Linked DNA regions of Saccharomyces cerevisiae S288C. Changing the gene in region 1 together with any one later gene gives a genetic interaction. Each region holds a gene or a part of one and is shown on either strand. Other genes may lie near its edges.

Region 1 (4,150 bases):
TACGTTGATAGAATGTGTCAACGATTTGTGTTCATCTTGTGGTAATGATTGTCAAAATCAGAGATTTCAAAAGAAGCAGTACGCTCCGATAGCCATATTTAAAACAAAGCATAAAGGTTATGGCGTAAGAGCCGAACAGGACATAGAAGCCAACCAGTTCATTTACGAGTACAAAGGTGAGGTGATCGAGGAGATGGAATTTAGAGATAGGTTAATAGACTATGACCAACGTCATTTCAAGCATTTTTATTTTATGATGTTACAGAACGGAGAATTCATTGACGCCACAATAAAGGGTTCGTTGGCCAGATTTTGCAATCACTCTTGCAGCCCCAATGCATATGTTAATAAATGGGTTGTTAAGGATAAGCTACGCATGGGAATATTTGCTCAAAGAAAAATTTTAAAAGGTGAGGAAATCACTTTTGATTATAATGTGGATCGTTATGGTGCTCAAGCTCAGAAATGCTACTGTGAGGAGCCAAATTGTATTGGGTTTCTCGGTGGTAAGACTCAAACAGATGCGGCATCTTTATTGCCCCAGAACATCGCTGATGCCTTGGGAGTGACTGTTTCCATGGAGAAAAAATGGCTAAAGTTAAAGAAATTAAGCGGTGAGCCAATAATAAAGAATGAAAACGAGAACATAAATATTGAATTTCTTCAATCATTGGAAGTCCAACCTATCGACAGCCCAGTGGATGTGACGAAGATCATGAGTGTATTACTACAGCAAGATAATAAGATAATTGCATCCAAACTCTTGAAGAGACTTTTTACTATCGATGATGACTCTCTTCGTCATCAGGCTATCAAACTACACGGTTACACCTGTTTTAGCAAAATGCTTAAATTGTTTATCACGGAACAACCTCAGGTAGATGGAAAAGGAAACGAGACTGAAGAAGATGATATAAAGTTTATAAAGGGAATTTTAGATTTTTTGTTGGAATTACCAAAGACAACTCGAAACGGTATTGAGTCGTCACAAATTGATAATGTAGTAAAAACTCTCCCTGCAAAGTTTCCATTTTTAAAGCCAAACTGCGATGAGTTATTGGAGAAATGGTCGAAATTTGAAACATATAAAAGGATAACGAAGAAAGACATAAACGTCGCAGCCAGCAAAATGATAGATTTGAGAAGGGTGAGATTACCTCCAGGCTGGGAGATCATTCACGAAAACGGTCGCCCATTGTATTATAATGCAGAACAGAAAACGAAACTACACTATCCACCTTCGGGATCATCTAAGGTCTTTAGTTCAAGGTCAAATACACAAGTAAATTCTCCGAGTAGCAGTGGAATACCAAAAACGCCTGGCGCTTTAGACTCTAAGAAACATAAGCTGAGTGACGAAGAATATGAGAGGAAGAAACAAAAAAGACTGGAATACGAAAGAATTGCGCTAGAAAGAGCCAAACAAGAAGAATTGGAAAGCCTGAAGCAAAAGCTAAAGCTTGAGAATGAAAGAAAAAGCGTTTTGGAGGATATTATAGCGGAGGCCAACAAACAGAAGGAGTTACAAAAGGAAGAGGCCAAAAAACTAGTGGAAGCAAAAGAGGCTAAGCGGTTGAAAAGAAAAACGGTCTCCCAGTCCCAAAGACTAGAGCACAACTGGAATAAATTCTTTGCATCTTTTGTACCCAACTTAATAAAAAAAAACCCACAAAGTAAACAATTTGATCATGAAAACATTAAACAATGTGCTAAAGACATCGTGAAAATCCTAACTACAAAGGAACTTAAAAAAGATTCTTCAAGAGCGCCGCCTGATGACTTAACCAAAGGAAAAAGGCATAAAGTTAAAGAATTCATAAATTCATACATGGATAAGATTATCCTCAAGAAGAAGCAAAAAAAGGCGTTGGCATTATCATCAGCATCAACAAGGATGTCTTCTCCTCCACCTTCAACATCATCATAATTAACCAGACATGCATATTTGGGGCTTGTTTCACGTTTTCTGTCCCAAAGGAAGTCTTGTACTTTAATTGTAATTGCGATTTGTAATAAGTAATTTTTTTTGTCTTTACCGTTTATTTCTTTATACATTTTTGGTGCATATATTTAAATATCCGCATTAGTGGGCTATCAGTAGCACTGTAATGATAGGTAATGTGACACATCTTCTCGACAGATATTATTCTTGAAAAAATCGTGCGTTTCAAGTGTCTTTATTTTTTTGCTGTCAATAGAAGTGTTGAAATGACTTTGAAACGTAATTACCGCATCGGGAAATTTACATGTTAACTGCAATGAAAACAAGGAATATACGGGGAACATATAAAGGGTCAGCGTCGTTGACTAGTCTGTCATTTATATTGTGCTTGTACATAGGACTACAAAAATTCAAAGAATGACGACAAGAAACATGACTACTTTAGCATCAAGTATTGAGCATAAAACAAAACATCTAGCCGCGCCCTTCGAGAACGATGAGAACCCTTGGATGAAAAAATACTGTTGCCAATGCAAATCATGTAAAATGAGTGTGCCTGTCCAACCTTGGCTGCCAAGGTTTTTTGTTTTTGGAATCTTGTGCCCCGTTTTCTGGTTGGTGAATCTTTTAGCCTGGTGGTTCTTACAGTATTGGCAACCACATGAATTGGAATTCCACGACTTGCAAGAAGACGAATACCCAGGATTTTATGAATATGAAGCCATAACTAAAAGAACGGTGATACCCATAAAGGAAGAAGTCCTCCAAGAGATTCGCGTCATGCAGAATTTCAGTGATAGCAACAGCGAAGAATATTACGAGAGCAAAGACGGTATGCCGTCGTCTTTCCTAAACGTGAACACGGAACAAGTCGAGGACGAGAATGACACCTTGAAAAAATATCGTTACGCGTTTTTGAAGAAGGTAGCCCACGATGTGCTGGAGTCGCACGATTTATTACGTAAGACCTTCCGCGACTGGAATTTACGGTCTTTGCTTGGCCTCCTCATCGATTCTATACTCATAATATTTGTAGTTCTCCTATGTAAGAAAAGCCGTTAGGTAGATCTAAAGACAGAAAATGATATCAGCCTCTTTCTTTTCCACAGCCTCCATTTCCCATTTTTGCTGTATCTGCAAGGGTTCCTTTTTCCATTTTTTTTTTTCAAAGTCTTGGCTCCGCCCTTTTCTTTTGTCTATTTTGCCGAGCTTAGGTTATTTATAAACCTGAAAATCCTCGAGAAACAATCCTTATCGAAGGAAGCAGCCATAATAGAACATACTCAAGTGCAAACATTACAAGCTTAAATAAGACAAATGTTACAGAGTATAGTCCTTTCCGTGTGCATGTTTATGTTGCACACAGTCGCTGCCAGTGGACCTCAGTCGTACCAAAAGTTGGATTTCACTAATGTTGGTTTTACAGGCTCCTACGTAGATGTGAATAAGTTTAAAGATATCACCAACAATGAATCGTGTACTTGCGAAGTGGGTGACAGAGTATGGTTTAGTGGTAAGAACGCTCCACTAGCAGACTATTTATCCGTTCATTTCCGTGGACCATTGAAGTTGAAACAATTTGCTTTTTACACATCCCCTGGATTTACCGTCAACAACAGCAGAAGTTCTTCTGATTGGAACCGTCTTGCCTACTATGAGTCCAGTTCCAAAACCGCTGATAACGTTACCTTTCTAAATCATGGAGGTGAAGCTTCCCCTTGTTTAGGAAATGCTTTGTCCTACGCTAGTTCTAACGGTACTGGCAGCGCCAGTGAAGCTACCGTTTTGGCAGATGGCACTTTGATTTCTTCAGATCAAGAATACATAATCTATTCGAATGTCTCATGTCCAAAATCAGGTTATGATAAGGGTTGTGGGGTTTACCGTAGTGGCATTCCAGCTTACTATGGGTACGGAGGTACAACAAAGATGTTTTTGTTTGAATTCGAAATGCCTACTGAAACTGAGAAAAATAGCAGCTCTATTGGGTACTATGACTTGCCTGCTATTTGGTTGCTAAACGATCACATTGCAAGGACTTCTCAATATCCAACCAATGCCAACTGTTCATGTTGGGCTAGTGGATGTGGGGAATACGATATTTTTGAAGCTATGAATGGTACGGAGAAAAACCATCTCTATTCTACTTTCCACACTTTCCAAGGTATCGAGGATTTGGGTACTGGTATCCAATCTTACGGATACATA
Region 2 (4,150 bases), on another chromosome or scaffold:
GAGCCAAAGTACAAGGGACAAATAACGATACGGCGGGAAAACATAAGATCGGATTCGTCCGCTGTATCAAGAAATAAGTCTAACAATAATTTTGTCGATAAGCCTGAGACGGAATTGAGCACACTGACTTCAACAGACAACCTTTTGAGTCGCACAGAAAATAATAGCAATCATAATTACAACAACAGTAATGTGAGCTCTAACAGCATTGGATCACCCAATTTCCATTCTTTGAGGAAAGGATGGCAAATACCCAATCGGAGGAACTCGAACACTTCAGTATCTGTGTCTTCTAGTGAGTCTTTAGCGGAAGTTATTCAGCCATCTTCCTTCAAAAGTGGGAGTAGTTCATTGCATTATCTATCGTCTTCTATCTCAAGCCAACCTGGTTCGTACGGTTCTTGGTTCAACAAAAGGCCAACAATTTCTCAGTTCTTTCAACCAAGCCCTTCTTTAAAACACAACGAGTCGTGGGAGAGGCTGCAAACAACTGCTGGAAATATGCAAAGGACTTCAAGTTCGTCTTCTTTGCAGCAAGCAACCTCCAGGTTATCACTAACCACTCCGCAACAATCACCGTCTATCAGCGAATATGATGAGTATCCTTGGATGGGCACACCTGGCTCTCCTAATGTTGGAGATGTGTCTCACGCACCCCCATTGGTTAAGAATATATCATATAAATTTCCACTAAAGAACGTTGAGTTGAAAAGAGATTGCCAAAGGATCTCTCAGGATGATCTTTTGGATGAGGCTTTTGAAAGAATATGTCAGCCCTCTTTGGCTGACCTTAATTCCACTTACGAAATTTTTCCAGGTAACTCTTCTTATGCGGATATTTTGACTACTGATTCTGATATTGATGATGGCTTGATGAATAAACCTCTGGAACTATTGCCGAAATATACAATGTATTTAACCCATTTTAACAATTTTTTCCAGTTGCAAGCATGTCCTGCTGGTCAAGAATCAGAGAGCAGAATAACAAATTCTATGAAGATTGACCTGTTAAAGGCGGATTACACAAGAAGTCTATTAGTATCGTTACGTTCAAGGGACATTAGGGATGTCGCATTGAAAAGAGAGTTTACTGGCAATAACAACAATAACAGCAACCAGAATATCTATGATGAGAATTTTGTCGGAAAAAGGAAGTACGTGTTGAAACAGAAGACCAGAAAAATCTTTTCCTGTGGCAAGATTGGCAAGCTAAGTACTAGTTTGGAAAACTGCGTTAATTTTGTTGAAAATAGTATAAAGAGTGCAATGATGTTATATGATGATAATGGAATAGATAGTGAGCTTCGCGATTCAGAAGCTTTACGGATTTTTTCATCTCTTGTTCATTATTGTAATGCAGGTTAATGTTTTCTCCTTCTTTACATGTTTAATATATTCCAAGTTACCTAAGAGGTGTACGATATTTTTTTCTTTTATATATATGATTTTCTCTATTCATTTTTTAGTTTTTTTTGATACATAAGCGAATCGCACATTGCGCAACTTCAATTTGTTGATTCGCCAAAGTATTCTTACCATAAAACAACCATTCGTTGCTTTACCCTTTCGTAATCATTTACCGTGATAACCATAATCAGAAACTTATTATTTCAGCCTAGTAGACCGGCCAAGCAGGCCTTGTAATGTTTCTCTTGATTGCTTGAATCTTTTAAGCAGCCAAATCTTTCCAAAAAAATGCAATTATCAGAACAAAACTATTTAAGGTGACTTCTCCGTATTTACACCACCAGAAGCGTTCTGGCTCCCCTTTTCTCTAAACGTTAAACATTTTACAATTGAAATGTTACCAATCCTATATTATTGTACCACATTGCCAGATTTATGAACTCTGGGTATGGGTGCTAATTTTCGTTAGAAGCGCTGGTACAATTTTCTCTGTCATTGTGACACTAATTAGGAAACTTCTCGACTATCAATGTGTAAATGAAGGAATAATGGCGGAAACTTTGAAACTTTGTCAATAATTGCATCATTGGATGCGTTTCATTTGGCCGTTATCACGGAGAGGCAGAGTTCTCTCCACAATTTGGGCAGAAGTCTTTTGAAAAGACATATATATATATATATATGTATATGAGTGGATGCTTAAGGTAAGAATAATTTCTGAATTCCCAAGTATTCATTTTGTGCAGTATTCACATATTCTATTTTATTGCTTTTTAACTTTAGAGGCAATTAAATTTGTGTAGGAAAGGCAAAATACTATCAAAATTTTCATGTCATACAAGTCAGCAATAATAGGGCTTTGTTTGCTAGCTGTGATACTATTAGCTCCCCCTTTAGCATGGCATTCACATACCAAGAATATTCCAGCAATCATTTTGATAACATGGCTTCTTACAATGAATTTAACGTGTATTGTAGATGCGGCAATATGGAGTGACGACGATTTCCTCACGAGATGGGATGGTAAAGGTTGGTGTGATATTGTCATCAAGTTGCAGGTTGGTGCGAATATTGGCATATCATGTGCCGTTACCAACATCATTTACAACTTGCATACAATTTTGAAGGCAGATAGTGTTTTACCGGATCTTTCATCATGGACGAAAATCGTCAAGGACCTTGTGATTAGCTTGTTCACACCTGTCATGGTCATGGGATTTTCATATCTGTTACAAGTATTTAGATATGGTATCGCTCGTTACAACGGTTGCCAAAACTTATTGTCTCCGACATGGATTACCACTGTTTTGTATACCATGTGGATGCTTATATGGTCATTTGTGGGCGCTGTTTATGCCACCTTAGTACTGTTCGTGTTTTATAAAAAACGCAAGGACGTTAGGGATATTTTACACTGTACCAATTCAGGTTTAAACCTGACAAGGTTCGCAAGGCTGTTGATATTCTGTTTCATTATTATTTTAGTCATGTTCCCTTTTTCTGTTTACACCTTTGTTCAAGATTTACAGCAGGTAGAAGGACACTATACTTTTAAAAATACCCATTCCAGCACCATCTGGAATACCATTATTAAATTTGACCCTGGCAGACCAATTTATAATATATGGCTTTATGTTTTGATGTCTTACCTAGTATTTCTAATCTTTGGCTTAGGTTCTGATGCTTTGCATATGTACTCTAAATTCCTGCGTTCCATCAAACTAGGATTTGTACTTGACATGTGGAAAAGATTCATTGATAAGAATAAGGAAAAACGAGTAGGCATATTGCTAAACAAGCTGTCCTCACGCAAAGAGAGCCGTAACCCATTTTCTACAGACTCTGAGAACTATATCTCCACGTGTACAGAAAACTATTCTCCCTGTGTAGGTACACCAATATCACAAGCGCATTTCTATGTCGACTATAGGATTCCAGATGATCCTAGAAAATCTCAAAATAAAAGCAAAAAATATTTGTTTGCTGATAAAGAAACAGATGATATTCTTGATGAAATAGACCTAAAAGAAAGTAGGCACATCCCTTACGTCACGCAAGGACAGAGCTTTGACGACGAAATATCACTTGGAGGATTCTCAAAAGTTACTCTCGATTATTCAGAAAAGCTTCATAATTCTGCAAGCTCCAATTTTGAAGGGGAAAGTCTTTGCTACTCTCCAGCTTCAAAAGAAGAGAATTCAAGCTCAAACGAACATAGTTCAGAAAATACTGCAGGCCCTTAACACAAGAGTGTCGCATTATATTTACTGGACTAGGAGTATTTTATTTTTACAGGACTAGGATTGAAATACTGCTTTTTAGTGAATTGTGGCTCAAATAATGTAACGATGAGCTCATCAGCTAATATGTGGCTTAGCGGTAAAAATGACGAATTGTGTGTAAACTTTACTTTAATATTTACTGCTTTTTTGCTACTTTGGTTTCTATTTTTTTCTATAGAAAAGCAATAACGTCTGTATTATATATAAATATAAGGAGAAATTGATACAAGTTCCACACAAGAAAAATTTTTTAAGCTCGAAACAAAAGTAAGCTTTTGCTCCAAAAGTCGATTAGCAGAACAGTCTTTAATAAACGAGAGAATTGGCACGATCACTTAATTGGCCATTTTTTTAGGAGCATACCAAAATTCAGGCCAGGAAAACATGAAAGAGCATCATATCTCCGCTCATAATCAAAGAATATTTAGGTACCCACAATTTCAGTTCGCTCTATCACTATT

The links. A genetic interaction does not mean that the proteins touch.
Region 2: of ASG7 (region 1) and STE3, changing one enhances a phenotype caused by changing the other (phenotypic enhancement), as found in Saccharomyces cerevisiae (one study listed by BioGRID).

Annotation. Positions count from the first base shown.
Region 1 is NC_001142.9:100,004-104,153, reverse strand, and holds ASG7 (Asg7p), read left to right. Parts: upstream 1-2,374; coding exon 2,375-3,004; downstream 3,005-4,150. Other genes in the region: histone methyltransferase SET2, read left to right, coding at 1-1,927; TOH1 (Toh1p), read left to right, coding at 3,260-4,150. UniProt on the Saccharomyces cerevisiae protein: Required for receptor inhibition of inappropriately expressed a-factor receptor (STE3) in MAT a cells. Inhibits signaling by relocalizing the G protein beta-gamma (STE4-STE18) subunit to intracellular membranes.
Region 2 is NC_001143.9:112,715-116,864, reverse strand, and holds STE3 (Ste3p), read left to right. Parts: upstream 1-2,237; coding exon 2,238-3,650; downstream 3,651-4,150. Other genes in the region: LST4 (Lst4p), read left to right, coding at 1-1,365. UniProt on the Saccharomyces cerevisiae protein: Receptor for the peptide pheromone a factor.